Linked DNA regions of Canis lupus familiaris. The protein of the gene in region 1 purifies or fractionates together with the protein of each later gene. This does not show direct contact. Links are inferred from orthologs where the notes say so. Each region holds a gene or a part of one and is shown on either strand. Other genes may lie near its edges. The genes, in order: FBL and RRP9.

Region 1 (15,033 bases):
AGCTGGAATTCAAACTTAAATGGTCAAGGGCAGCCGGGGTGGCTCAGAGGTTTAGTGCTGCCTTCAGCCTGCAGCGTGATCTTGGAGACCTGGGATCGAGTCCCACGTCAGGCTCCCAGCATGAAGCCTGCTTCTCCCTCTGCCTGTGTCTCTGCCTCTCTCTCTCTCTGTGTCTTGTGATAAATAAAATCTTTAAAAACAAAAAACCTTAAATGGTCAGACTCGGCCATCATGGACTTGACCACTACATTCTATTGGCTATTTAAACTCAAAGCCTTTTAGTTTTGTAGACATTTTTCACCAAGTGCTATTTGACAGGGCAGGGAAATGCAGGGTAGAGCCTGGGAATAGACTAGACTAGGAGAATGGAGGCCCTGGCCCCTTTGTTTTGACTAGCTGCTTGGCAGTTACAGAGAAAATACTACCACCCCATCTTAGACTCCTCCAAGCCCCGCACCTTAATGGAAATCACAAAGTGTCCTCCGTTACGAAGGAAGGTGTGGGCATTCAGGGCTACAATCCGGGTCTGGTCTGGCTGGGCCACGTCGGCAAAGATCACGTCCACCATTGCTAGGGAGAAATAAGTGGCACTTACAAGCTGGATCCACCAGATATTCCCAGCTCCTCCCGTGAGGCCTGTGCCCCATTACCAGAAGGTTTCTGGCATAGTCTTCCCTGCTTCCAGTCTCACTTCCCCCCGTTGATTCCCCCTTTCCCTCCACTGGACCCCCAGGATGGGTCCAAAACCCAGTCACACCATTCATTCATTCCTCTTGTAAACCATGATTGCCACCTACTCTGTGGCCAGGCCTGGGCCCGGTGTGGGGGACACAGAGACGAGTCAGACCCGGACCCTGCCCTCGAGATGCTCCCAGGTCTGGGGGGGAGACAGACACGTCATAAAAAGGCATGTAAAGGTGAGCACTTACAGGCAAGAGCGTCTGCAGGATTGTCAAAGGAAACTAAAGGGTATGGTATGAATGCATGGGGAAAAAAAACTACTCAAAACCAACATAATGCAAAGTATTTTTAAGCCACTGTGATTAAATAAAACAACAAAAAAATGGTATAATGAAAACTGAAAAAAAGAAAAAAAGAAAACTGACTTTCTTAAATTGGGAAAAGAAGGCATTAAATTGTTCGTATTGGTTACCTCTGAGGGTGGTTTATAAGGAGTGTAACAGTAGCAACACGTTTTATATTGTACTTCCATTTTTTTTAATCTTTAAAAACCAAAGTAATATTCACAATGGGCCCCTCCGGGCCAGGCCACACTGTTTTTTATGATCAATCATAAAAAGGGGGGCAGCATAAAAAATACCATGTTTCAGAAGTAGGCAGAAGTATGGGGGTGCCTAGGGAGAGGGGCAGGAGATCGAAGGAAAAAAGGTTAGCCTTCCAGGGGTGCCAGACACCCAAGCTCCACAACCTCACCTGGCTCCCCTCACCCTCTTCATTCCTGCAGACTCAGGAGGCCTACTCATCCATCCTGATTACATTTGAATCAGGGCTCTGGCCACCTCTTCCAAGAAACCTGGAGTGCCCTGGCCTACACAATCTGAGCCAATCCCTAGACCCCTCACCTATGAGCATGCGGTATTTGTGTGGGTGCCGAGCATCTTCAATAACAGGAATAATGTTGGTCCTCTTCTTGGCCAAGTTAATGAGGTCACGGCCAGAGCGGTGGGAGAACTCAACTGCATAGACTAGACCATCCTAAAACAATTAATAAAAACACTGATACTACTTTTTAGATGGAATACCTACTTTAAGCTCAAACACTGCATGTAGCATCTCTTCAAATCCACACAGAATCAAAACCCTACCATTTGACAACGTATTGTTGCCAAGGGTTATTCAATCCCACTTTGCTTGATCTGAGAGTCCAGTCTCCCCAGTACAGGCTTCAAACGAGGAAGCCAGGCACAGAGATGAAGTTCTAACAGCTAAGAATACTTACAATGGACTAGGCATTGCTCTAAGTACTTTACAGGAATTACAAGTATCTTCACAGCAACCTTATTTTCCAGAGGCATAAACCGAGGCTCAGAGAGTTTAAGAAATGTGCCGAAAACCACCTCACTGTTAAACGCCCACAACAGAGCCTGGGGTTTTAAACCACTACATTACACAGCCTACAAAGTCATGCAGATGGGCTAGAGGTCCTGAAGTGAGATGCACGGGTGACCTCTAACCAAGGAGCCTGCAGAGTGACACAGAAATGTAGGCCCAGAAACTAATACCTGTTCTTTTAAGAGAAACCACAAGACCAGATTTGGGGGCATACATTTTTAAAGAGGACAACTAAATCCAACACTCTGGTATCTGTACCTTCGACCCCGGGGCCCCTCTAACTGCACTTACGCCAATACCCACGTCCCTTCCCTCCAGACCAGGAACTCAGGAATGGGACTAAATGAGCCTTTGGAGACTGGATGCTTCAAGCTGCTCCTTCTACTACAGGCACTCTGAAGGAAGGGCCTAGCCCCAAGCCACATGGTACAGGGAAGCAGCCAGGCCCACTGACTCCAGGCTGGCAGAGGCAGTCTCTGCCTCCTTTTCACCTCACCACCTGCCCTTACTCACTCCTCCTTAACCCTCTATCCACTCACCGGGCCTACGATGTCAGAGACGTGGGAGACAGTGGTGCCTGAGGCAGCGCCGAGGTAGAGCACCTTGGCCCCTGGCTTGATATGGATCTGGTCCACACCACCCAGGATTGCTGCCGCCAGCTTGGAGCGGAAGGGGTTCCAGGCACGGTACTCAATTTTGTCATCTCCTTCCTGGGCCGGGAGAGATGGGGATAGAAGTTAGTGCCAGGTTTTTTTTGCTAGACCCCACTGCCCTTAGCCCTAGGGCCTAGGGCGCTCATTCATTGTTCAAGAAATGAACACAGGCACACATCAGTGACCATGATGGATGCAGTACCTGCCCTCTCATGAAGGTTAATGACTCAGGTAGAAGGGGCAGGGACAGACAATAAACACAGAGATAAAAGATCGTATCAGTTAACAGCAAGACCTGTGTGTTCATTCAACAAACATTTGCTGTGCCAACATGTTCTGTGCCAGACCCTATGCCAGGCTACATAGTGAATGAGACAGACCCCTGCCCTCAAGGAGCAAGTCTACACCAAACTACGTACAGTACAGAAGCCAGTGACAGTTGCTAAGGAGAAAAGATCAAGCCAGGAAAGGACATACAGTAGGGGGAGGGGGCTGAGGAACAGGTGAAAATGAGGCAGGGTGGCCAGGGAAGTGCCTAGGAGACATATGCAGACCCGAAGGAGGTGGGGGCCATGCAAGTCACCTGGGGAAGCACATTCTAGGCAGCAGGAAAGGCAGCAAAAAGCCCTGAGCAGGAGCGTGCCTCATCATAAAGGTGAAGTGGGATAATAGAGCAGAGGGTAGGCTGCTTTTCATGGACTGGGTGGCACAAGGTGGCCTTGTGAGAAACACAAGGTGATGTTGACCAGAGATGCTGGTGATGAAAGGAACCAGACATACACACAGCTGGAGAGGAGGAGTATTCAAGATAGAGGGAAGAGCAAGGAGACCCGTATGGCTAGAAGACTCTAGGTCTGGGGCAGGGGTGGGGGCATGGGTGGGGAGGGGGAGCTGGAATGTGCAGGGTCTTCTGGGCCACACTGAGGACCTGGGACTTGAACCTGAAGGCAATGGGGATCTGACTTATGTATTAAGATGACTCCCGGGCAGCCCGGGTGGCTTAGCGGTTTAGCGCTGCCTTCAGCCCATGATCCTGGAGCCCTAGGATCGAGTCCCATGTCAGGCTCCCTGCATGGAGCCTGCTTCTCCCTCTGCCTGTGTCTCTGCCTTTCCACTCCCCTCTCTCTCTACCTTTCTCTCTGTCTCTCTCATGAATGAATAAATAAAATCTTAAAAAAAGAAAAAAAAAAAGAAAAAAAAAAAAAGAAAAAGGTGACTCCCTAGCTGGCATGTGTAGGATGCATGGTGGGGGTAGGGAGACCAGACCGCTGGCTACCCTGTCAGTTGGGGCCCTGGTCTCACCGAAATCGATACTCTCTTCTCTCCGTAAACTGATTCCCCAGGGACCAGATTCTTGGTGACAAGCGCATCTTCCTTTCCTCGACAAATGAAGACACCTAAGTGAGGAGACCAGCGCAGGGTGAAGACTCTGGGCTGCACCCCACAACCCACCCTACCCTCAGCAGCTCTGCACCCTCCCCACTCACCCTCATGCCGATGAGGTTCCACCATCACATTTTTCCCCGACTGGTTTCCTCTCTTCCCTCCCCGACCACGACCCCGGTTGCCGCCAGACTGGAAACCTCCACCTACAAGGCAGAGATGAAGTGAGAGAGGGAGATCCCATGATCTCTTCCCTCCCAAAGCCCAGGGAAAGCCTCCTAATCATATCCCACCTCCCACCCACTCCCAATGTCACTTACCACCTCGTCCTCCTCCTCCTCGGCCACGGCCCCTAAAGCCTCCACCACGACCTCTGCCCCCACCAAAGCCTCCTCGGCCTCCACCACGACCACCGCGGTCACCGAAGCCCCCTCGGCCACCGAAGCCGCCCCCGCGGGGGCTGAAACCTGTAGTGGCAACAGAAAGAGGAATTGGGGCAATTAAGTTTGAGAAGTTATGTCTCGTAATTCCACACAGGAAAATCAGGACCAATGCAGATGTCCACTGGCAGAATGGACAAATAAAATGGGGAGTATTCATAAGCACCAGTGACGAGGATCTATATAATTACAACAGGTAGATAAATCTTATTAGAGTCATGGGACGCCTGGGTGGCTCAGTGGTTGAGCACCTGCCTTTGGCTCAGGTTGTGACCCCAAGGTCCTGGGATCAAGTTCCGCATCGGGCTCCTCGCAGGGAGCCTGCTTCTCCCTCTGCCTATGTCTTTGCCTCTCTTTGTGTGTCTTTCATGAATAAATAAAATCTTAAAAAAACCCAAAAAACCAACAAACTTAAGAGTCATGTTAAGTGAAAAAGCAACTCGAAGACCATGTCCAACACAGTATTGGTCATAAGGCTCAGCAACAGCTAAATTTAAACAACGTCGTGCTGTGTTGATATACATGGTAACCCTGCCCCATGCCACCCCCCAAAAGAGGAAAGGGGACGATAAATGCAAAGCTGATAATACTGGGGATTGAGAGGGGAATATGAACAAGATTCAGGTAGGGGAGGGATACCCAGGTAGATGTAGGTTACTGTCAACATGCTGCTTTTGTTGGTCAGATAGGAGGTTTGAAGATCCACTCTATTTTCAGTGTTAGTCTGAAGCCTGTGCACGCATCGTGGCAGGAAGGGCCCCCAGACCCTGAAACCATGTCCGTGCCCTCCCACTCCTGAACTTCAGTCTGGAGGAAAAAGGCCAACCCCTAAACAGAGGGGAGTTGGCCATGATGTCTTTCTTGCTACCTCATCGACCTTCCTGCAAACTTGCAGAGGTCTCTCTCAGCTCAGAGGGAGAAAAAAAAACAAGAAAAAAGTCGAGTTGTCCTTTATGGATGGGCAACAGCACATAAGCAATTTAGGGCTTGTTACCTGGCCTGAAATCTGAAGGGGGGCAAAAAAAAAAGATTCAGGAAGACTTGATTTTCATCACCTCAGGTCAGAGCAAACATGCGCTGCACTGAGCTGGTAATGACGGCAGAAGCAGATGGCATTCTCCTGGTGCTAACAGATTCACTATCTGACTTTTCTGCGCCAGTGTCCTAAGCTCTGCACTACTTTGGGCAAAGCACAAGTTACAAAACAATAGTGTGACAATTAGGGATGCTCTAAAATGACCTCACCTGATGTCAACTACTCAATAGTAAACTAGCTAGAGTTTTTTGTAAAGGTGCGTTATATCTGCGCGCTATGAAATCTTCACACACTGTAAAGGTGTTAAAGATGAAAATACGCAGGCGCCCGGCCTGGGGGGCTCAGTCGGTTAAGCAGCTATCTTCAGCTCAGGTCATGATCTTGAGGTCCTGGGATGGGTCCCCGCATCGGGCTCCCTGCTCCCCTGCTCAGAAGGGAGGAGAGTCTGCTTCTCCCTCTGCCTCTGCCCACCTCCTTCCTGTGCATTCGCTCTCTCTCAAATAAAAAAAAAAAATTTTTTTTTTTTAAAGATTTTACTTATTTACTCATGACAGAGAGAGAGAGGCAGAGGGAGAGAAGCAGGCTCCATGCAGGGAGCCCGACGTGGAACTCGATCCCAGGGCTCCAGGATCACATCCCAGGCCGAAGGCGGCACCAAACCGCTGGGCCACCAGGGCTGCCCAATAAATAAAATCTTTAAGAAAAAAAAATTTTTTTAAAAGACGAAAATGTAGAGCTTTTAAACATTATTCCTAATTTAAGTACTAAAAGTTAAGTTTCAGAATTCCCGAAGAGTCGCCTTTACTCCCTCTACAGGCTCCTGCCCACAGGGCAGCTACAGATGGACCTTCTCCAAACCACAAAATTGGATCTCTTGATCCCCTTGCCTAAATCCCTTCCAATGGCTTTCCATCATGTTGAAAATGCAACTGAAATTCCTGTCTCTGGCTTCCAAAGCCTGAAATCAGTGGCTCTCACCTTTGGCTAATCCCTGGAACCTAGAGATCCCGATTTAGGTGTAGGGGCCTGAGCATTGGGCTTTTTAAGGTTCCCCAGGCAATCTGAAATGTGCAGCCTGAACTAAGAATGTCGCTGACTTTTGTGCCCTCACGCTTTCTGTTCTGGGCCTTGCACCCTTCCTCCTCAACTCACTCTCCAGCTTCTAAGCCCTTCATACCTGCTGTCCTTCCTGCACACATTAGCTGGGCTCACCCACTTCTTCGTTGCACTCAGCTCTCTGATGAAACATTCTTTCCTGAGAACTCAGGGCCTTCGGGCTCCCTACCTTTAGCTTCTTCCTATCAAGCATCACACATGGCACTTTTTACTTTATCACTGCCTGACTTCCCCACCAGCATCCCAAGGGACAGGGATGTTTTAATACTTTTGGTCACTCTGCATCCCCAGCACCATGCACAACATTTGGCACAAAGTGTGGGCTCAATAAATATTAAGTGAGCTGTCTGCTGATGACTCTTAAATCCCTGGGTTCTGCCCCGGGCGGGGGAAGCACTCTCTCTGTTCATTCAGGGAGCCCCAGTCCCCGCCCCTCAATCAGTTCATGTGTCCCGTACAGGGCGATGGAGATGCCACTCACGGCCCTAGAGAGTAGGGAAGGTTCATGGGAATCCTGAAAACTTTACCTGTAAGACAGAGATACGGCGATAACAATCACACATTGTAGGAAAAAAATGTCTTAATACACACAAAGCACTTCCCTCAACACACTGCCTGGTACACAGTTTGAACAGGAGTATTTTAATGAGGGGAAGGAGAGTCCCCCTGTCCTTCCACTTAGGGGAGAAATCACTAGGCTGAAGGGACTCTCATCCCAGGCCTGATGGAACAGTGACCTGAGAAGTGTGGGCATAGCTAGGGGACCTGGGGGCATGAGTGTCAACTTGCAGTTCTAGGTACTCAAAACATATCTATTCATTTCAGGTCCAGGGGAGCTTACAAAAATGTACCAGAAGTACCAACTCCTCAGGAAAACACACGTTTGCACACACATTTCCAGAAGTTTTGGGAGGAAGTTCCACGGACCCCCAGGTTTAGACCCTGCTCTCCTCCTAGAACCTTCCCATCTCAAAAATGGACACTCCATCCTTCCAGGTACATGTGTCCACACCCTGAGGTATCCTTGATCTCTCTTATACCCACATACAAGCTGTCGGCTTTATGTTCAAAATATATTTCCAAAGTGTGACAATTTGTCAGGCAGGTCCACTAATACCACCCTAGCCCAAGCCACATCATCTCCTACTAAATCACCACAAGTTTCCTGCTAATGCACCTGCTTCCACTTGTGCTCCCCTGATGCCCTTTACATAAAAAAACAATAAGGATCCTTTTAAATGTGTCAATCAGACAGCATTCTGTCCCTGCTCAAAATCTCCCCAGGGCTTCTTCTCTGTCAGACTCAAACCCTTAGTGAAGAGCTGACTCTTAACTGCTGCAGCTTCATATCCTAACACAATGAGGGAATGGTTGGGCGGAAGGTATATCCTCCATTCCTGGGGGAATCAAATTGTAGGGTGCCTGCAGGCATGCCGGGGTATGATGGAGAGACACAGTCCAGCATTGCCTCCCCGCCCATCATTTCATCAGGTCATCAGGTCTTCTTTCTCCTGAAGAAACCCACCCTCCCCCTCCACCAGATGACCCCATCTCTCCACACACGCAGGGAGGGTGGGAGAAAAAGGAAGTGCAAAGTGCAAAACAAAGACCTGTACTAGGAAACAGACCTTCTGGGTCACAGTGGAAGATTTCCCCAAACTCTAGCGAAGCAAGTTGTGGGGAGGGGCATTGCCTGATTTAGGAAGCCCCAAGTCACCAGGAAGAAAGACCCTAATTTTGTGCCTCTTGAGAGGAATGATAAAGATAACAGGAGGTGGAGACAAATACTATTATGTCAAGTCCTGTGCTTTTCCCCCTCGGCCTTATTGAACTATAACTGACATGTATATATAACATCACATATGCCAACCTGTTGATTTATTTGTACACTTAATCTATTGCAAAGAGATTACCACAATATGTACTTTTTCTTAACGTGATCTTGCTAAATTATAACTGGGCGCCATTTTACAAACGAGAAAACAGAGAAGTAAAGCCACTTGCCCAAGGTCACGCTGCAACTTAAGAACCAAAGCTAGTGCTGAAGTTTTGAACTGAGATCTTTCTTCTGTCAAAGCCTGCCCTCTCATCGATCTACCAACGGGGGAGGCGGGGTGGGTTCACCAGAATCTCGGGGAAAATCAAATGAATAAAATCACTCACGCGTCCTGTGACTATCTCCCTCCCCCACCCCACGCTAAGCCCGTCTTGGGCTCGTGAAGGTTCATCTCACCGCGAGTTGAGCATCACGATCACTCACACCTCGGAGACCCGCCCCTCGGGAGAGTAGAGAGCGGGAAAGTGGGGCAGAAAGGGCCACACACTCCCAAGCCGGGAGTCCTCATTCACTACGGCCCTCTCTGAGAAGCTGGTCTGGGAGCTAAGGGGGCTCTGGTTGCGGCGACACGCGAAGCAAACGGGGCTTCTCCCCGACCCCAAATCGGGACTCACCTCCGAGCCAACACATAATCCCCAAATCCCGCAGCCAGAGATCCAAGACCCCAGACGCCTGGATCCAGACTCTGGGTCGGTTGTCCCGACTGCCACCCCCAGCCCAATAACCGGGACCCCTAATGACGGCCTCAGGGAGTCGAATCCTAGCTCAGGAACCCCCTTCCAAACCCAGGACCCCCGACTCACGACCGTGACCTCCGAAGCCAGTCACACACCCCCAGACCAGGAACCCGCACCCCGGACTCAGCGTCGCTTCACAGGGAGGAGCCAAGACCCCCTCGCCACCGCCACGGGCGACCGGAACCAGGACCCCCTCCCCACTAGCGGCCGGACCCCCTGCCCCTAGGCCGGGGCCCCGCCCCTCGGGCTCCCGCCGGCCCCCAGTCCCCGACCCCGGCCCTCAACCCCGGCCTGCACCTGGCTTCATGGCGAGAGCTCAGCCCCGCGGCTCAGGACTCCGCGGCGGCCGGGACTACACGAGTCTGGGGCTTTCGCACGTGGAAAGGAGCGCACGCGCGGCGACGCACGGCGCGTGACGTAACCTCGCAGCCCCGCCCCTCGGAGCTCCTTCCGCGTCCGGAGCCCCGCGCGCGCGCTGTGGGCGGGGCTTCGCAAGCCTCTCAGGGCGCCGCCCCCGTGGGCGGCCTTAGGCGCGTCCATCGCGACGCTGAGCGCGCTTCCCGCCTTCTCTTGGGCGTGCGATCCTCCCCGGAGCCGGGGCTCGTCTCTTGTGCTCCCTGCTGCCCCTCTGCTCTGTTTGTGATTAACTTCCTAAGGTCTACACCCGAAAGCTTTCCCTGACCCATTTCCACCCGACGAACACGGACGATTCTGGGCTCACACATATGCAGTCGATTAAGCATTTATTTATTTATTTATTAAGATTTATTTATTTATTCATGATAGACACGGAGAGAGAGAGGCAGAGGCACAGGCAGAGGGAGAAGCAGGCTCCATGCAGGGAGCCCGACGCGGGACTCGATCCCGCGACCCCAGGATCACGCCCTGGGCGGAAGGCGGACGCTCAACCGCTGGGCCGCCCAGGGATCCCCGGAGTTCATCTTCTAGTGGGAGGAACAGACACCAACTAAGTTATTAGAAGGCAATAAAAGTGCTTTTGATGGAGGAACAGAGGACTAGCTGAGGACAAAGCACCGGCCCAGGGCAGCACATTGACAAGTCCTTGAGACAGGCAGAGGGACAGTCCTCTATGGACTCAACTGCCTCGATGTTAATACTTTGTTAAGGGCAAAAGGCAATATTAGCCTGACCCCCAGGATCCTGTGAGTCTACTTTAACATAAAAAAATTCCTTTAGAAATTTCCTTTATCTCTGGGATCCCTGGGTGGCTCAGCGGTTTAGCGCCTGCCTTCGCCCAGGGCGTGATCCTGGAGATGGAAGATCGAGTCCCACATCGGGTTCCTTGCATGGAGCCTGCTTCTCCCTCTGCCTCTCTCTCTCTCTCTGTGTCTCATGAATAAATAAATAAAATTTAAAAAAGAAAAAGAAATTTCCTTTATTTCTAAGTCTCCAAGATACATGTTGGCAATCATCCCCCAAGCACGTGGCCCACCGAGGTACATCTGAAGGGTCTCATGACTCAGGTTTTATTAGACGGTAATAAGTGCCCTTTTCCCAACAATAGCTACCCCCTCAAGGTGCTGGAAACCTTGCTTCCGAAATTCCTGAGAGAGTGTGCTATCCTCAAACCCCTCCCGGCTCCCAGGTACATAATCAGCCACCCCTCCCAGGCCCAAGGCAGCAGCCCTGGGTCCTGCCCCCATACTTTAATAAAACCATCATTTTGCACCAAAAATGTCTCAATAATTCTTTCTTGGTGGTCGGCTCCGGACTTCACCCCAACAAACCTCACCTATAATTCCCAAACTTCATCACTTTGGAGAAAATAAGAGGAGGAAAGGAAGATAGGACAGTTGGAGGAGAGGTGACTTTCTTAATCAGGCATCAAGGAATGCATCCAGTGACTTGAGCAAAGAGTTAAAAGGGATGAGGAGTGAGGCATGCACCTATCTGGGGGAAGAGAGGTCTAGGTATGGAGGATTGTAGGTGCAAAGGTCCTGGGGCGGGGATGGTATGGAGGGTTGGAGAGGCAGTGAGGGGTGTGGTTGGGGCAGAGTTTGCAAGCAGAGCAGAAAGAGATGAGAGCCCGGAGGTAACAAAGGAAATTGTGTGAGGATCTTGGGTGCCAGTGAAAGGACTTTGGCTTTTATTCCAAGTGAGATGGAGCTATGGGAGATTCTTGAACAAAGAAGGGATGTGATCTAACATGGGATCACCTTGTTTGCACATGGGAAACAGAGTGTGGGAACAGCCCTGAGAGGAGGGAGACCAAGGAGGAGGCTGCTGCAGTGGATCAGCTAGCAGACAAGGATGGACAAGATCAGGGTATAGGCAGAGGAAGGAGGGACGAGTGAGCAGATTCTAAGGAAGTATTGGGAATTTGGTGCTTTGTAATTTTATAATATTAATATTCATCCTTACATTCATTGCACAAAGCAAAACAAGTGCTACTATGAGATACAACTAAAAACCTCCGGGAGAATGCACTGGCCTGTCCCATTCATGGCTGTATCACTCAGTACCTAGAACAAGGCCTGGCCCAAAGTGGGTGCTCAGTCACTGTTTGTTGAATGAATGACTGAACCAATGCTTTTGAGTTCTTTGTGCGGGGTGTTCCAGCCACGCAGATGCATTTCTGAAAATCTGTTTAAATGTTAAGATGGAAAACCTGCTGAGTTTATTCTGGATTTCTGGGAGCTGTGTAATAATCAAATGGCTTAGGGCACCTGGGTGGCTCAGTGATTGAGCATCTGCCTTTGGCTCAGGTCATGATCTCGGTGTCCTGGGATCGAGTCCAGCATCAGATTCCCCTCAGGGAGTCTGCTTCTCCCTCTGCCTATGTCTCTGCCTCTGTGTGTCTCTCATGAATAAATAAATAAAATCTTTAAAAAAAATTGCTGCTTGTTTAAATCTGGGTCCAAACAAGTTCCCTTCATTTGGTTGTTCTCTCATTCTCTCTCTTTCTCTCTCTTTCTCTCTCTCTCTCTCTCTCTCTCACACACACACACGTACACACACACACACACTGGCCAAGAATTTTCAGAGATTACGATTTTTTCATTTTAAAACTGTTTTTTTTGGGGAAGTATGACATGCCTACAGAAAAGTGCATGTAACTGCCCAGCTTTATGAGTTATCACAAAGGGAAGAACCCATACCACCACCATTCAAGTCAACAAATAGAACATTACCAGTACTCTAAAAGCCCCTTGTACTCCTTCTCTTAGGTCTCTTTCATTTTTTTTTTAATTTTTATTTATGATAGTCACACACACACAGAGAGAGAGAGAGAGAGAGAGAGGCAGAGACATAGGCAGAGGGAGAAGCAGGCCCCATGCACCAGGAGCCCAACGTGGGATTCGATCCCGGGTCTCCAGGATCGTGCCCTGGGCCAAAGGCAGGCGCCAAACCGCTGCACCACCCAGGGATCCCAGGTCTCTTTCATTATGGACACTGTTCCCACCTTGCTTTTCTCACTTCATAACATAACCAGGAGATCACTCCAGTAACAGTGTTTCCAAATATGCCTTATTTTACTTTCATCTGCAGAATAGTTCATATGTAAATCAACCAGGCTGCTGATGGATATCTGAATTGTTTCTCTTTATTTAAAAGATTTTATTTGGGACCCCTGGGTGGCTCAGTAGTTGAGCATCTGCCTTCGGCTCAGGGCCTGATCCTGGAGCCCCGGGATGGAGTCCCACATCGGGCTCCCTGCTGGAGCCTGCTTCTCCCTCTGCCTGCGTCTCTGCCTTCTCTCTCTCTGCCTCTCATGAATAAATAAATAAAATCTTTTTTAAAAAAATCTTTTAAAAAGATTTTATTTATTTAAGAGAGAGAGAGAGAGCATGAACGGAGGTGGGGGCAGAGGGAGAGAGAGAAACAGACTCCTCACTGATCAGGGAGACCAGGACCCTGGGATCACGATCTGAGCCAAAGGCAGACACTTAAATGAGTGAGCCACCTAGGCACCCCTCCCCTCCTTTTTAAACCATAAAGAGCACTGTGATGAACAGCGTTGGCTTATATCCTTTTACTGCCATTGTAGCTTTGGGTTGGATTCCTAGTAGTGAGTTCACTGGGTCGGGAGAAAAAAGCATCTATAATTTTGAAAGATACTGCTGAGTTTCCCTGCATCAGACTTATGTTTGCATTCCCAGTGATAGGATATGAGATTTTTTTTTTTTTCCTGATAGCCTTGTCAGTAAATTCTGTTGTTGAGGTCTATCTGGTTGGTGAGAAGTGGTATCTTGGGTGATTTAATTTCCCTTTTTCTTAATATGGGTAGGATTGAGCATTTCTTATTTTTTTAAAAAAGATTTTATTCATTTTTTCATAAGAGAGAGAGAGAGGCAGGCTCCATGCAGGGAGCCCGACGTGGGACTCAATCCCAGGTCTCCAGAATTACACCCTGGGCCAAAGGCAGGCACCAAACCGCTGAGCCACCCAGGGATCCTGAGCATTTCTTATTTTTAAGGGCCATTTGTATCTATCTATTAGCTATCTAAAATTTTTGCCTCTTTTTTTTAAAAAAAGATTTTATTTATTTATTCATGAGAGAGCCAGAGAGAGAGAGAGAGAGAGAGAGCCAGAGAGAGAGAGAGAGGCACAGACACAGGCAGAGGGGGAAGCAGGCTCCAGCAGGGAGCCCGATGAGGGACTCGATCCCAGGTCCCCAGGATCACACCCTGGGCCGAAGGCGGCCCCGAGCTACCGGGGCTGCCCTTTTGCCTCTTTTACTATTGGATTGTTTCTTTTTCATCTTAATTTTTAGGGCATCTCAATTCCTTTTCTTGAAAGGGAGTTGAGCCTATGTGAGACTCACCAAAATTCGGTGGAAAGGACTGTGTTTGGTGGCATACTTGAATTCAAATCTAGGCTCCATTGTTACAACCTGCTTTTGGGCAACTTAACTTCAATAAGTCTATTTCTTTATATCTATCCTTGTTTTGCAGAGTTGCTGGGAAGCTCAGAAATACTATATATGGATAACCTGACCTATTGAATCATTCAACATATGTAGATTTCTTTCTCTGTCAATTGCATATGTATATTCTCCACTCTTTTTTTTTTTAATTGGGCTGCTATCTTGTTTTATTGATTTGAAGGAGTTCTTTATATATTGTGGATATAATCCTTTACTAGGTATGTTGCAACTCTTTACTCCAGGTTAATCGTTGGCCATTTATTCATTCAATAAGTATGTCCTGAGTATCTACTGTGTGCTAGGTGCTGAGAATAAAGTGGTGAATGAAGCAGATATAGTCTCTGCTTTTGAGTTACTTCTAAATGGGCAGAAAGTCAAATAAAAGTAATTTTAAAGTGTAACAAATGCTAGGAAGGAAATAAGCAAGCAGGCAAGCATCTGGCGCAGAGGGTAACAGGGAATCCACTTTAAATGACGTGGCTGTGAAAGGCCTCTCTAAGGCCTTAAGCTAACATGTAAGCTGACATTTGAAGGATGAGAAGCAGCTAATCATCTGGTAAGTGCAAAGAACAGCATATTGCAAAGAAGTAAAGTGGGAAAAATCTGGCATGTTCAGTACATTGAAAGATCAAGTTCCCAAATCATAATTGGCAAGGAGGACAGTGATTGGAGATGAGTCAGCAGAGGTGGGCAGGGGCCTTATAGGACAAGATGGCGAATTTGATTTTATTATGAGAAGTTTCTAGCCAATAGTCCCCCTTATATGTTAGGAAGAGTCATCAAATAGCAGTGAGGGTGGATTACAAAAGGGGAAGAGCAGGTAGGAGGCTGTTGGCATCATCAGCATAAAGGGGTGATGGCTGTATCAAG
Region 2 (15,064 bases), on another chromosome or scaffold:
CTGTGCCCTGCTGTCCTAGCCTTGTTCCCCTGTACCCAGGACAGGGTGGAGGTGAATGTTTAAGAGGAGAGGTGGGGGGAGACAGGAGTGGAGGAGGGAGGAAGGGTTCCTATCAGGCCCTGTGGTAGGAACTGGCACTATAAAATAACAAGTCATAGCCTTGCCCTGAGGAGCCTCCCTTCTGGCAAGAAAAAAAATAAGGGGCTAATCCCAGGTGCCCTGAACTCTAGGGCCTCAGGAGTGTGGCAAAGATAGGCGAGGCATTCAAGCCCCACTTACCAGGGGAATGTCGCAGAGAGGTTCAAGCTGCCGGAAGCCCTCCCCACACTGCCAGAGCCTCACGCAAGAGTTGTGGGAGCCTGAGGGGTCAGGGAGATAGTGAGCGCCCCCGCACTGGCCCACCCTGCAACCCCCTCTTTTCTGCCTCAAAGGGCACCCACCTGTGGCTACAAGGTCTGTGTTGAGCAGGGCCGCCACTGCTGATACCCAGAAGGGCTGCTCGAGGCCTGGCTCCCCCCGCAGCCCATGGGCCTCACGCTGCAGGGCGAGCGGCCGCTTCTTAGAGAGACCCCACAAGGCCACAGAGCTGTGGACAAAGAACATAATTGGCAAGGGGCTGGGGTAGGGCAGAAAGGCCACTCAGCAGAAAGGAATCCCACTGCCACAAGGGAAGGTTCCTGGAGCCAAGTCCAGGAGCAGCGGTAGTGGTGCAAGGCATCCCAAAGGCAGCTCTTACCCATCATCTGCGCCCGATACCATGTGCTCCTCGTTGATAAGCTGGATGCTGTCGATGGAGCCCCTGGCAAAAGGAACAGTGAGGGGCACAGCCCCACCCCAGCCCCTCTCCCCTGACCTGGCCCAGTGGATAGCCTTACTGGTGGCCATAGAAGACAAGCTGGGACTCCTCAGGAATCTTCCACACACGCACCGTCCCGTCCCGGCCCCCAGCCGTCACACAGCACTCCCTGCTCAAGGCATCCAGCGCAGCGACGGCATCCTGGTGCCCAAAGCTGGAGGGGGAGAGGGGGCAGAGGGAGGATGGGGTCCCATGTGCACTGGCACATGCATCTGCACACCCTTTCCCCGTGCACACTCACAGTGTCTCCACATAGGAGTTCTCCGCCACGTTCCACACCTTCACAGAGCGATCATGGGATGTGCTATAGAGCTGGTGGGTTCCTCTGCGGAATGCCAGACCCTACAGATACATGGACAGGAAGCAAAAGTGGACCTGGACCACAGCAGGCGAGACAGAAGTCCTCGCCGGGGGAGGATTTCCTCCTAAAAAGCACGTCACAAGCCCAGGGAGGCAGCGGTGCACTCCTGAGCAGCCTCCCCACTCCCTAGGCAAGCTCAGTCTCCCCGCAATTCCCCTTCACCTCCTTTATGTCCCTGAGGATGGACACCCTCTGCCTCATTCAGCCCATTGCCCCAGCCCGGCCCACTTGGTTGCTTGGTAAATGCCCACAGCTCCTACCGACACGGCATCCCGATGGCCTGTGAAAGTGTACAGGTGCTGGCAGCTCTGGGCCTCCCATATGAGAATGAGCTTGCTGCGGTCACCCGAGGCCTGTGGAGATGAGGACAATGGCCACAGGCACCCAATGTGTGCCCCCGACTCTCGCCCACCCCCCGGGGCCAGCACTGCCTTACGAGGTACTTGCCGTCAGAGGAGATGGCCATGCAGAGAATATGGCTGCTGTGGCTGGGGGGTTGCCCCTCAACACCCTTCTTGGCCCGTGGGATCACGTGAAGCTTCCGTCCAGTCTCCACGCTCCCTGACAACAGGAAAGAGAAAGTTACTGGGACAGAGGGTAGGACTGGCTGGCAACCCCCTCAGGGGCAGCACGGGGCTGTGGAGAAAGTGGTGCCTTCAGAGCAGAACTCAGCTCGGCTGCCGTGAGCCCCTGTATAATCCCCAGGTTCCTCATCTGTCACCCAGTGACAGTAACCCCCCAAGGGCAGCCACGAAGCCCCAGAGAGGATAGGAAAGTGCCTTAGGACCAAGGGTACGAGTTCTTCCAGTTTCTCCTAAGGGTGGATGAAAACAGTACTCAGCTGTCGAAGGGGGGTACCCAGGAAGACCGGGATGCAATCCCAGGACAGCACAGAGCCTCAAGTGTCCTCCAACTGCCCACCTACAGCACCAATCCCCATTCATCAGTATCCTGCCTCTGTTCAATCGCCTCCAATGACAGCGACGGGGAGCTCAAGCCCCACTCTTAGGCAGAAGCTTTCACTGGCACCCAGAGAACACCTCCTTAGGAATAAACTTATGTCCAGAAGCTTCCCCCACCAGGCCTCAGTCTGCCCTGATTACTCCCTCCTCCACAGATCAGCCCTCCCAAAAGATCCCCGGGTCTGCACCCCCAAGCCAGGCTCACTCACACTTGATAATGGTGCAGTCTTTGGCAGCAGAGAAGATGGCAGAGTCATCGGGGGTGATGACCACACACGTGATGGAGAGCTGGTGCCCCCGTAAGACACGGATGTCAGCCGGGGCTGGGCCCTGAATCTGGGCAAGCAGAGTGAGGTCACTGCCACAGAGGACAAGAAGGCCCCTAGATGCTCACTCACTCGCACACACACCACACGTGCACACACGCGTGTACACACACACACACACACACACACACACACCATCCTTTCCCACCACCCTGACCAGGGCTGCAAGCATCAGACCCTTACCTGACTCTGTCTGCCTAAGTGCCCCCCAAGTTCCAGAGCAAAAACCCCACAGCCTGAGTCCCCAGTTAGGCCATTCACTCACCTACCCATGTGGGACCCATGATTCACTTCAATCTTACATCAAAGTCCCCTGCCCGCTTACCTCCTTTGCCACCGACTTCTGCAGCCTGCCCCTCTGCTCCAGCTGCACAGAGAGGAGAGGGATGAGCTCCCAAGAGCAGGACCAGCCCAACCCTTCTCTCCCACCGCCTTCCCTCCACAACTCACCACATCCTCCTTCAGGCGCCCTGCCACCTGGTCCTCCTCAAATGCCCGGGCCTCGGCCTTCTCCTCCTCTATGCAAGGACAGACCAGACCAAGTCAATGTAGGCCTAGACTCCACTTTTCCCTTCCCATTCCCACCCCACCCCACTGCCTTGGTCTTGGGCTCCAAACACTCGGGTTGTGTCCCAAGGGAAGTTCAGGCTGCCTTGGGCAAAGGAGAGATCTCCTCCTGCCTAACCCCTGCCATTACTTAGAGATTAGGCTAAAGCCCCCTGAAGGTCAGACCCACCCCAGGAGGCCCATTAGTCTCCCAGCCACCCTCCTTCAGGAAATCCCACACCAGCAGCTCTGGCAATCCACCAGGTACCTGCTCAGCCACCCGTCAGGCGGCTGGGGCACAGCAGGTGGTCTTGGACACAGGCCCTGCCCCTGCCTGCCAGTGCATGGGCTCACCTTGCTGCCTGAGCTGCTCCAGGTAGAGCTTGGCCAAGCGAAGCTTCTTCTCCTGGGCTGTCTCCTCCAGCTCCTCTTCCTCTTCCTCCTCAGTCTTCCTAGGAGCCAGGCTGCGGGAAGGAAGGGAATAGCTCTCAGAGGGCTCACCCCACTCTTCCAGCCACTAAGACCATACCTCCTCACTGCTTCCCCTGGCACTCAACCACCCCCCTCCGTCTCATAGCCAACGATTACATATGCAGAAAACCCAAAGACTGAACTTGTCAAACTGAAAGGAACCACCCAGTCCTCACATGAGGGTGAAAAGAGACCCAAAATCCAAAGAGATCACTGTGAAATCTCTTAACTCTAGAGGGAAAGAGCAGGTTCTACAAGCTGTTGAAGAAAGGTCACATACGAAGGGTCTGGAATCAATAGCAACAGTGGTCAACAAAGGAGCCACATACACAAAATACTGAGCTGTTTACACAAGGTGTGAACCCCTGGAAGGCCACACCAGTTAAACCCTCGATGACCAGTGAAGACACTGTTAGATGTACAAGCTGCCACAGGACTGGCCTTCTCTAAGCCTCACAACAGGATGAGGGACGTGCCCCAACACAAGACAGTCAGCTGGGAATGACAAAGGCATGGGAGACAAGGAACAGGAGCTCCAATACGGGAAGCAGAAAAGGCAGATCCCAGACCATGCATCCCCAGACAGGGGAGCTATGGCCAGCCCAGATCCGATAAAAGGACCTAAGCAGGGGCAGCCCCGGTGGCTCAGCGGTTTAGCGCCACCTTCAGCCCAGGGCATGATCCTGGAGACCCGGGATTGAGTCCCACGTCAAGCTCCCTGCATGGAGCCTGCTTCTCCCTCTGCCTGTGTCTCTGTCTCTCTCTGTCTCTCTCTCTGTGTCTCTCATGAATAAATAAAATCTTTAAAAAAAAAAAAAGGACCCAAGCAAGAGGCAGACACACTGGGGACGTGCCTACCTCACTCTCACTGCATCTACCCTGAGGACAGGATTCCAGGTGAAACATAACTGGTCTTGGCCTGACCTTGTGAAGCTTTCCATTACATGTCTCATATTCGCACTGGCTAGAGCACTCACCTCACTCAAGACACATCCTACGCAGACTTGCTCCTGGGAGCTACAGGCAGGCCACAGGAACCATCCCCCGATCTTGTGCCTGAAGATACCTAGTATCTGTCAAATGGCCCAACTGCTTCCCCAAGATTCATTTATGACTTTGTCCACAATGTCCCCAGAAGGGACCTTGGAAACTGCCAAGGAAGCCAAGGCTGAACCAGGCCCCAGAGACCATCTAGTACCCAGTGCCCAGCAAGCCTTCAGCCAACAGGCTTGGTTCTGCCCTTCCTGTATATATCTATGGTTAAAACTTCTGCTCAATTCACCCAAACTAATCAATCTATCGTATAGGGGTTCACATGTAGGAGATAGAACTCTATAAAGAAAAGCAAAGGAAGGGACGCTTGGGTGGTTCAGTGGTTTAACACCTGCCTTTGGCCCAGGGTGTGATCCTGGAGTCCCGGGATCGAGTCCCACATCAGGTTCCCTGCATGGAGCCTGCTTCTCCCTCTCCCTATGTCTCTGCCTCTCTCTCTCTTTCTCTCTCATGAATAAATAAATAATATCTTTAAAAAAAGGAAAAGAAGCATATAATCATATGACATCCTGGAAAACGCAAAACTCTAGCGACAGTAGTCAGCAGGGGCTAGAGGGAGGGGGGCATGGACTCCAAAGGAGGGGGGGTGGGAGTGTTGTGTGTGGCAGGAGGGGTTCTAGCGCATGATGAAACCCTTCCACACCTTCAGAGTGGTGGTAGTTACACCACTATATGTGTTTGTCAAAACTCACATACTGTACACTAAAGAAAGTGAATATTACTGTATGTAAATTATACCTGGTTAAGAAAATGAAAAGAAAAAGAAGGAGGAAGAGGAAGAAGGGAGGGAGGGAGGGAGGGAAGGAAGGAAGGAAGGAAGGAAGGAAGGAAGGAAGGAAGGAAGGAAGGAAGGAAGGAAGGAAGGAAGGAGAAAACCAAAGAAACAATTAAGTCAGGAATGCAGAGTTGGGGCCTCTAAATTCCTAAGTGGTGGGTGCACGGAGGTTCATCATCTCACCATTGCCCCCTATGGTCCAAATACATTTCATTGATTCTTCTGTATCTCATACATTCACAACACATTTTTTTTAAGATTTTTTTTTATTTATTTATTCATAGAGGCACAGAGAGAAAGAGGCAGAGACACAGGCAGAGGGAGAAGCGGGCTCCATGCAGGAAGCCTGACGTGGGACTCGACCCCAGGTCTCCAGGATCTCGCCCTGGGACGCAGGTGGCACTAAACCGCTGTGCCACTGGGGCTGCCCCACAACACATTTTTTAAACATTTAAAAGTGTTCGGCACAGGGCCAGGCACACTGCTACCCACAGTGATCTTAAAAGTAAGTATGTGAAGTCTTCCTGTGACCATGTTAAGGCCAACTTGTGCTCAATGTTAGAAGCTGAATTTCTTTTTCTTTTTTTTTTTAAGATTTTTTTTATTTATTCATGAGAGACACAGAGAGACGGGCAGAGACACAGGCAGAGGGAGAAGCAGGCTCCATGCAGGGAGCCAGATGTGAGACTCGATCCCAGGACTCCAGGATCAGGAAAACTATGGAACTTTTTTTTTAATTCCCTGGGCTGAAGGCGGCGCTAAACCGCTGAGCCACCCAGGTGTCCCTAGAAGCTGAATTTCTAAAGTCAACTCTAAGGAAGGCCCCAGGATTCCCTGGTATGATGGCCTCCATTCCACAGGCTCAGGCGTGGTACCTTGTTAACTTCCTCTGAAACCCTGCAACATGTCTCACCCCTGTCACCTGCAGAATGGAGGTATTCAAAGCCCTCCACAACCTGGATGCGGCCAACACCTGCCTTTCCAACCTGTCCATCTCCCACTTGGGCACATGTAAAGCCCTAGACTTTTCTCTGCTCCCTGAATGTCCTCCCTGCCCTTCCTTATCTGACAGATTCCTCCTTATCTCCCCAGGCCCTATTTAAATGTCCCATTCCCTGTCTCCAGAACACAGAGCTGAAGAATACCCACTTCATTACAACCCATTTTGTCTTCACCTGCCTGCTTACCTCTGCATTGTCAACAGTAAAGCCAGTGCCTGGCATATGTTGAGAACAGCAATTTGACATTGTGGGAAAACAGATGGAAGAACTAGCAAGCATTTCTTGCATGCCTCTCCCCATACCAGCCCGTCCAGCTTGTGCACCTGTCCCTGCCGTGAACCAGGGAGGTCTCACTGGTCTCCCATTGGGACTGGGGGTTCTCCCCACACAGAGACCCTGCCGGGAAAGGAGAGGAAACTTCTCAATCTCCTTAAGACGAGTCCTACTATCAGGCTCAGAACTGGAGGGAAGAGCCAAGACCTAGGAGCCGAAAAGGCCCAGCTCTGCCCCGACTCCCTGAGTCTTCCATACACTATGAGCCTCAGTGTTCCCTTCCTCCAGGTGGGAGAGAGCTCACCTCTCACTCTCAGAGTCGCTGGAAATCTCCTCATTCATCTTGCCGCCTCCCTTGGACTTGCCCCGGTCCCCGGCAGAGTCGGCCTGAGAATTAAATGATCCTTTCGTTAGTCCGGGGTCCCAACCACCGGGCACTGACCAAGCGCGCCTTCCGATCTCTCGAGAGCCGCCGGACTAGGAAAGGCAGTGGCCTCCCCGCCCCCGCCCCCGCCCCCGCCGGCTCCAGTGCAAGGTCTTTCAGGACCTGGCCCCCGGAGAGAGGAACGAAGCCGACTCCAGCTAGGGTCCCGAAAAAAGGGCCGCGGAGGCGCCCGGGGCCCGGGTGTCCCGGGGCGGACGACGCTGGTCCCGGCGGCGGGGCTGACTGTGGCCCGCAGAAGCTTCAGGCTCACCTTTCGCCGCCGCTTGCCGGCCCCCGCACCGGCCGCGGCCCCCGAGGCCGGCCTTCCCCGCTTCCGAGCCGCCGCCGCCGCCGACATGCTGCCCACCGCGAGCGCAGCGGCCGCCACGGAGAACTCACGTGGCTGCTAGCCCCGGAGGTCTGGCAGGACTCCGCGCCCGGATAGGCTCCCAGTGCCCCGCGGGTCCCGCCTCCCACGGCCCCATTGGCTGCCTCTGTACGCTCTGTCCCGCCCCCAGGCGCCCATAGGATAAGCGCTTGTGGCCCCGCCTCCAAGGCTTCCTCCGGGCTCCAAGCCTCCTCGGGCGCTTCCGGCCCAAAGCTGCGGCGCCTGCGCCCTGCTGCGGGCTGGCGACCAAGGGGCGGGCCGGACCAGAAGCGCCTTCTCTGTGTTTGCGGCCCTTGGACGCTGGGGGGCGTCAGAGATGCAGCGCCCCGAGTCTCGCAGCGGGGCTCCTCCCCGTCGGGGGCGGGAGCTAGGGTGAACCAGCCTGGCACTAGGTAACGGCGAGGAAACGTAGGCAGCCCGGAGGAGAGGGAGGCGATGCCCGCACCTGGGCCCAAGGTCACGGGGCAGCCGGCGGACACGTATTGCGTGCCTCGGGCCACTCAAGCGGCGCGAGGGACGCGTCAGCCTCCTGGGCTGCGCTGGCTCTCCCGGTCGAGTGTCCAGCGGTCCGTGGGACAGGCTGCTGGGCTCCGCTAGTCCAGCCTCTGACTCACTTGACTGGTGGCCAGATAGCTGGAAAACCACACCCCCACCCCTGCGCTGCCCCTGCCCCACCCCTGGCGATTGTAGGGAGATCACTGCCCCAAGTCACGCCTAAGGTTACAGAGGGTTGCTGGAGAAGGCCCTAGAACCGGAACTGCTGGGGGTCCTGATACTAGATCCGTGGCTGCCATCTCTCCCAGGTCCCTCCTTCTTTTAGGTGAGTGCCCTATGGCCCTGCCCACAGCCCCCTGCAGGGCAGGGCAGGGCAGGGCAGGGCAGGGCAGGACAGGGTGGTGCTGGTGCTGGCCCACTGGTCTCAGACCCTGACTGGCACCCCAGAACTTTTAAACCCCTTGGGAAGGATTTCTGGGCCGCAGGGTCCCAAGTTCTAGAGGGACAGATCTGGCCTCGGGAGTGTGGCCCTTGGGAGCTGCTGCCCACTCTCCTCCATAGTTGGGGTGACTCAGCCCAGCAGCCATGCCACGTCCATCTGAGTCAGCTGAGACAGGGGCGGAGCGGGCAATACCCAGGGAGTGCTCTGGAGGGAGGAGGAGACCAGAAGCAAGAAGAGATTCTCCTCACTTTTCCTCCCTCATCAGGACACTGGATTGCTAAAGAGAATAGGGAACCATTCTTCCGAGGCTCTGGGGCAGACTGGACAGGGTCCTGGCCTGGCCCATGCGAATGGGAAAAGGGAAAGGGGACTGGTACAGAGAGCTGGTTTTGGTCTGGCTTAGAGAATGGAGAGATGGAGTCAGGGGGGAGGCAATGGGGAGAGGGTCACCAAAAGAGCAAACCCAGAGTGGGGCACGTTGGTGCTGTGCCAGCCAGGTGGGATGCAGAGGCCATGAAGGCCTGAGGGCCCTCTTTGTGCCCCAGAAGAGCCATGGCTCCAAAGCGCAAGCCCCAGGTGCAACAGGAGGGCCCTGAAAAAAAGAAGGGGCGGCAGGGTGCAGAGGAGGAGGACAGCTTCCGCTCCACTGCCGAGGCCCTCAGAGCTGCACCCACAGAGAAGCACGTAGTCCGAGTGGACCCAGCATGCCCGCTCAGCCACAACCCTCAGACCCAGGTAATCTGTCGTCCCCTTCCAGACTTGGAGCCTAGGTACAAATACACTCAGACCAGTCCCCCTCCTCACTGGGCCTCGGCTCTGGCCAGGTAGCTCAGGCTCCCAAGAAGCTATGTTTCCCTGAGACCCCAACGGTCATGTAGGGTTATAGCCCATCAGATCCAGGCAAGTCATGTCTGCTCCTCAGACCCTAGGGTAAGCCTCCAAGCTTCTCAGGCCTCCACCTGCCATACTTAAGACAGGATTTCAACCTCCTTAGTCTCCCCAGGGCTCACCTGTAACCCCTAAAGCAGCCCCAGAGGGCCATGTACCACTGAGATCCCTTTTGCATGGCAGAGTGGTGTCCTGTCAGACCTCCAGGGCAGAAGCAGTGTCTCCCTCTGATTCCCTGACACAGGGTACAGCCACATCCTCCCAGAACTTCCCCCAACTGAGTTTAGTCATGTTCCCTCAGATTGTGGCCCCCAGGGCAGAACCATGACCTCAAGCCTTTCCTGATAGAGCCTCCCCTGGATGTCCCAGTGCATCCTGACTGCTGTTCCCCTCAAACCCCTGTCACTGTGTGGCCTGCCCTCCCTACGGCCTGCTCTCCCACCTGTTCCATCTGAGGGCCGTCCAGGCTGGCCTGCCCTCCCCAGAGCACCACCCCCCTCCGGCCCTAGGTGCATGAAGACTACGCCTGCACCCTGAATCAGACCAACATTGGAAGAAACAACAACAAGTTCTACATCATCCAGCTGCTGGAAGAGGGGGACCGCTTCGCCTGCTGGAACCGCTGGGGCCGCGTGGTGAGTGCCACCTTGCCATCCTGGACCCACCTTCCCCACCCCTGCTCACCAGGGTCCCCACAGCTCACTCGGCAACTGCCTGCACCCTCTCTCCACCTCTGAATGCCCAGGGGCTCCTGGCACAGGGCCTGGCACAGCTGAGGCCAACCAGATGTTTCACAGTGGGCAACTGTGGCAGGCACCCGCACCCCCTGCCTGCCCTGCTGCCTGAGGCTGTTGGTTGCAGGGAGAGGTGGGCCAGTCGAAGCTCAGCTACTTTGTGTTGCTGGAGGATGCAAAGAAGGACTTTGAGAAGAAATTTCAGGACAAGACCAAGAACAGATGGGTGGAGCGGGACCACTTTGTGGCCCACCCGGGCAAGTACACACTCATCGAAGTACAAGGAGAAGATGAGGCCCAGGAGGCCGTGGTGAAGGTGAAATGGCCAGGAAGTGTGTTGGTGGGCCCCAGTATGAGGGAGGGGACTGGAAGGAGAGACCCAGCCAGTTGGCTTCTGCCACTGCCCGGCTGTGTGACCTCGGGCATACACCTCCCCTCTCTGGCCTCAATGTGGCCAGTCTCTAATGCCAGGTTCTGCTTTGGCTGTGCCCAGCTGCTCCTGCCCATCCACGCCCTCTACCTCTAGGTGGATGGAGGCTCAGTGAGGAACATAGTTCAGCGGGTACGGCCCTGCTCCCTGGACGCACCCACACAGAAGCTCATCACCAACATCTTCAGCAAGGACATGTTCAAGAATGCCATGACCCTCATGAACCTGGGTGAGGAGAGAGGGGCCAGTCAGGAGGCAGGGGCCACGGGGGTGGCAGGACTACAGGGCTGAGTCTCCCCCACTCTCTCCACCCATTAGATGTAAAGAAGATGCCCCTAGGGAAGTTGAGCAAGCAGCAGATTGCACGGGGCTTCGAGGCTTTGGAGGCTCTGGAGCTGGCCCTGAAAGCCCCCACGGATGGTGGCCCCAACCTGGAGGAGCTGTCCTCCCACTTCTACACTGTCATTCCCCACAACTTCAGCCGCAACCGGCCCCCGCCCATCAACTCCCCTGAGCTTCTGCAGGCCAAAAAGGACATGCTGCTGGTGAGGTTTGGCAAGCAGGCAGGCAGCAGGGCAGACAGACAGACTGGGCAAGGGAGATGGGGGACAGATGGCCAAGGAGGCCCAGATAGGCGGACTGAATGGGTAGCTGGAAGGACAGGGGAGGGGAGGACCAGCCGGATAGATGTGGTGGGAGTGCACAGGTCAGGTGGCTGGGGCCCCAGGTCGTGTGGGAGGGAGGAGGCTGGGATTGAATTAGGCAGACAAGCTGTCAGCGTCCATCACTGTAGGTGCTGGCAGACATCGAGCTGGCCCAGACCCTGCAGGCATCCCCTGAAGAGGAAAAGGTGGAGGAGGTGCCACACCCCCTGGACCGAGACTACCAGCTCCTTAAGTGCCAGCTCCAGCTGCTGGACCCAGAGGAACCCGAGTACAAGGTGGGCCATGTCCCACAGAGGAGCCAGGACAACAGTAGGCACTGTCCCTCTGCCCATCTGCCCTCCTGGTGTGCAGAAGAGCCGCTTGCCCTTGGCCTTCTCTCCCTGTGTCTGTAGGGCCTGAGGAGAGCTCTGGGACTGGAAGCACCAGTGGGGGTTTGTCCACACATCTCTCACCCTTGGCAACTAGCTTCTGCTTTTCCTGCAGGTGATACATACCTATTTAGAAAAGACTGGTGGCACCTACCGGTGCCCTGCTCTTCAACACATTTGGAAAGTGAACCGAGAAGGGGAGGTAAGGGAAAGTATCCCCCCCAACCCATTTCCCTCACTACCTGTCCCTAGCTTATGTGCCCATTAACAAGTCGGTGTAGCAACTCATCAGCTTCCGCCAGACCCAGGCCTTGCGTATGTGTGCATGAGTATATGTCACTGGCCACAGGGGCCTTTTGCTTCGCTCATGCCCTCTGAACAGTGGGGAGAAGCACCTGAGCTTGGATAATGTGATGCTCCCTGTTTCCACCTCCTTCCCCTGAAGGGAGATAGGTTCCAGGCCCACTCCAAGCTGAGTAATCGAAAGCTACTGTGGCATGGCACCAACGTGGCGGTGGTGGCCGCCATCCTTGCCAGTGGGCTCCGCATCATGCCACATTCTGGCGGCCGCGTTGGCAAGGGCATCTACTTTGCCTCAGAGAACAGCAAGTCGGCTGGCTATGGTGAGGTATCTCTCGGGGCCAACCCCCAGGGGGACTAGCCCTAGTGCTTTCCCAGCTTGTGGTGGATCTGGGAGAGGAATCTTTGAATGGCTACTGACTAGAGTGCTCAGTGGGGCTCCCCGGGGACTGGGGGAACTCAAAGTGAGGGCAGTGGCCAGGGATAGGTTAGAAGTGGCAGGCAGCTTCCCTTCCCAGAGAAGGTGATGCAGATCACCCTCAGGATGAGTGAGCCAGCCACAGGTGGGGGCGGGGGAAGGTAGTGAAAGAGGACGCTTGGAGGTGAAGAAGCCAGAAGCACAAACCCTGGAAGGCTGCAGCAGGTCAGGACCTCTGAGCACAGCCTGATGATAAAGATCCAAGCAAATGCCTGGTGTAGGCAGGGGGCTGGAGTTTATCCAGGGAGTGATGGGGACCCTAACCAGACTTGTATATAGAGCATCTCAGTGGCTGTAGCCATGGGGAGGGCCACTGGGCCAGAGGTGCACGGAAGCCATGCTCTCACCCAGGCCAGATGTGATAGGCATCCAGCCCAGGCAGTGGAGGTGGGGGAAGAGAGTATCCGTGAGAGGAATGCATGAGAAGTGAGATGGGAAGCTTGTGTGACAGGGCCGGAGGTATCTCTCATCATCCCCAAGTTTCTGTCCAGAGGTGTCCTCACTAAGACCACCTCCCCAGACTGGATTCTCAGCCAGCGCATCATTGGAGACTCCTACCTCCCACTGAGCCAGGAGAGCCAGGCTGGATGGAGGTGATGATGTTCTAGGATATCTGAGGTTGCCCAGGGCAAGGAGTCCACCAGAACAGAGGAGCCTAGGAAGGAGTAGAGGGTGGCCTTGGGAGAGCCAGTGCAAGGGGGTCCCCAGGTAAGGGGCAGAGGATACCAGTGGCGAAATCAGCAGAGCTGGCCAGAGAGAGAAGGCATCTACCCTGGATTTAGCCACTGGGACTCATAACTGACCTTGGCGTGAGGGGCAGGGGCTGCAGAGGCCTGCTCTCAGGGATCCAAGGAATGGGGGAGCGGGTGGGAGGGAGCACAGCCAGGACAAGGGGGTGTTTTTAAGGATGCAGGAAGAGTGGGCACTTTTCTGGGCTGAGTCAACAAAGCCAGAGGAGATAATAGTGCAGCAGAGTGGGGGACAGGAAGTCAGATAGGAGGGCCAAGCTGCCCATGTTGAGCTTCTCTGTGTCCCCCAGTTACTGGCATATCCTGCGGAGCCCACCAAATTGGCTACATGTTCCTGGGTGAGGTGGCACTGGGCAGAGAGCACCACATCACCATCGACGACCCCAGCTTGAAGCAGCCACCCCCTGGCTTCGACAGCGTCATTGCCCGAGGCTCCACAGAGCCTGGTGGGTCCTGAAAAGCTGGACATGCCTGAGGATAAAGGCCTGGGGCTGAGCTAGGGGACCGGGAAACTTTCAGGGAGGAGGTGGGCAGGGGAGGGGCAGTGGTGGGGAACGAGAAGAACGAGGCTTCCCTACTATGTCATTCACAAACCTTTGCTGATTCAATACATCACTCCTGAGCATCCAGGAGGGCTTCAAAGAAAAGGTGTCAATGACTGAGCATCAAAAGGTAAGTAGGCAGGGACGCCTGGGTGGCTCAGCGGTTTAGCACCTGCCTTCAGCTCAGAGCCTGATCCTGGAGTCCCAGGATCGAGTCCCATATCGGGCTCCCTGCATGGAGCCTGTTTCTCCCTCTGCCTGTGTCTCTGCCCCTCTCTCTGTGTGTCTCTCATGAACAAATAAATAAAATCTTTTAAAAAAAAAAGTAAGTAGGCATTTCCCAGGCAGAGGAATTAAGAGGATATTCCAAGCAGAAGGCCCAGCCTGCGCAGTGGTTTGGAGACTGCAAGGTGGGAAGGAGCAGGGGTTCCCTGTGGCAGAGTGGGGAGCATAGGGGGCAGAACTTATTGGTGAAGCTGAGGATCAGTGACCCTTGAGTCACCTGTGGCCCTTGCTATACCTGTAGATCCATCCCAGGACACCGAGCTAGAGCTGGACGGCCAGCGAGTGGTGGTGCCCCAGGGCCAGCCTGTGCCCTGTGCAGAGTTCAGCAGCTCCAGATTCTTCCAGAGCGAGTATCTCATCTACCAGGAGAGCCAGTGTCACCTGCGCTACCTGCTGGAGGTTCACCTCTGAACCGTCTGCCTACCCCTGCCCCTTGCCTGGGGCCTACTGGTGGCCAGACTGTCATCCTTCCTGCCCATCTCTGGTGCCCCCAAATCTCCCTCTTATGTCCCAGACAGTGATTCCCCCCCTCGCTCCAATCCTTGCTAGCCGTGGCATGGCTATGGCTCCAGAGTCTCGCCTCCTAAGGTGTTGGGTGTGATGGACTGCCATTGTTACTGGGGCACAGATACAGCAGCCCATTCAAGTTAGAGGAGCACAGGCTGAGAATGGATGGAATCCCACATCCACCCAGGCTGTCCGCCCTGCCCCAGACTGTCTGTCCGAGAGGTGTGAGCACCAAGGTAGGCTGAACTTCAAAGCATATATACCAAGTTTATTAAATATTGTATCTGCTCACTCCCTGGTCTCTGCTTGTCTGTGCTGCAGCTGCACAAGGCCTGGCTCTCCTTCCCTCTTGTCGGAAACCCACCACACCACACAGCAGCCCTAACCCCACACTAGGGAGTGAGCACTCACAAGGTTGATGTGGGACACACACACACACACCGATCTACATCTGTGTCTGCAACAACGGGCCTCCTGATCCTTGAGCTTTCAAAGGAGACTCTCACCAATTCAGAACTGTTGGGCATTTGGGGACCCACGTGGTGATTCTGCATTTTAGCCCAGACACAACTGGGCAAATCAAGCATTCCTCATGTCTCGGCCCAAACATCCACGTGTATCATATGTGAATATTATTAATAAGTTCAGCATTTACCCAAGGGGTACTGCTCTACAATCATGATGGGAACACCAGTCCCCCCCCTCAGGTAACTCTGTCCCCAAATGGGGGTGCAGGTGCTAGAGA

The links.
Region 2: the proteins of FBL (region 1) and RRP9 purify together in Homo sapiens (affinity purification with mass spectrometry; 3 studies listed by BioGRID and IntAct, counting the BioPlex papers as one, with this or other methods). This does not show direct contact. The link is inferred for Canis lupus familiaris from reciprocal best matches to the Homo sapiens genes FBL and RRP9.

The regions. Positions count from the first base shown.
Region 1 is NC_049222.1:114,413,938-114,428,970, reverse strand, and holds the start of FBL (rRNA 2'-O-methyltransferase fibrillarin), read right to left. Parts: upstream 9,729-15,033; 5' UTR 9,583-9,728; coding exon 9,573-9,582; intron 4,577-9,572; coding exon 4,430-4,576; intron 4,316-4,429; coding exon 4,214-4,315; intron 4,124-4,213; coding exon 4,029-4,123; intron 2,784-4,028; coding exon 2,613-2,783; intron 1,717-2,612; coding exon 1,584-1,716; intron 571-1,583; coding exon 458-570; intron 1-457.
Region 2 is NC_049241.1:38,174,890-38,189,953, reverse strand, and holds the start of RRP9 (U3 small nucleolar RNA-interacting protein 2), read right to left. Parts: upstream 7,422-15,064; 5' UTR 7,407-7,421; coding exon 7,320-7,406; intron 7,012-7,319; coding exon 6,929-7,011; intron 3,516-6,928; coding exon 3,406-3,515; intron 3,024-3,405; coding exon 2,956-3,023; intron 2,873-2,955; coding exon 2,831-2,872; intron 2,516-2,830; coding exon 2,389-2,515; intron 1,779-2,388; coding exon 1,654-1,778; intron 1,571-1,653; coding exon 1,478-1,570; intron 1,199-1,477; coding exon 1,098-1,198; intron 1,011-1,097; coding exon 876-1,010; intron 800-875; coding exon 737-799; intron 587-736; coding exon 441-586; intron 360-440; coding exon 280-359; intron 1-279. Other genes in the region: protein mono-ADP-ribosyltransferase PARP3, read left to right, coding at 8,926-9,108, 9,771-9,896, 10,123-10,311, 10,522-10,654, 10,744-10,970, 11,219-11,365, 11,574-11,660, 11,904-12,081 and 2 more. UniProt on the Homo sapiens protein: Component of a nucleolar small nuclear ribonucleoprotein particle (snoRNP) thought to participate in the processing and modification of pre-ribosomal RNA (pre-rRNA).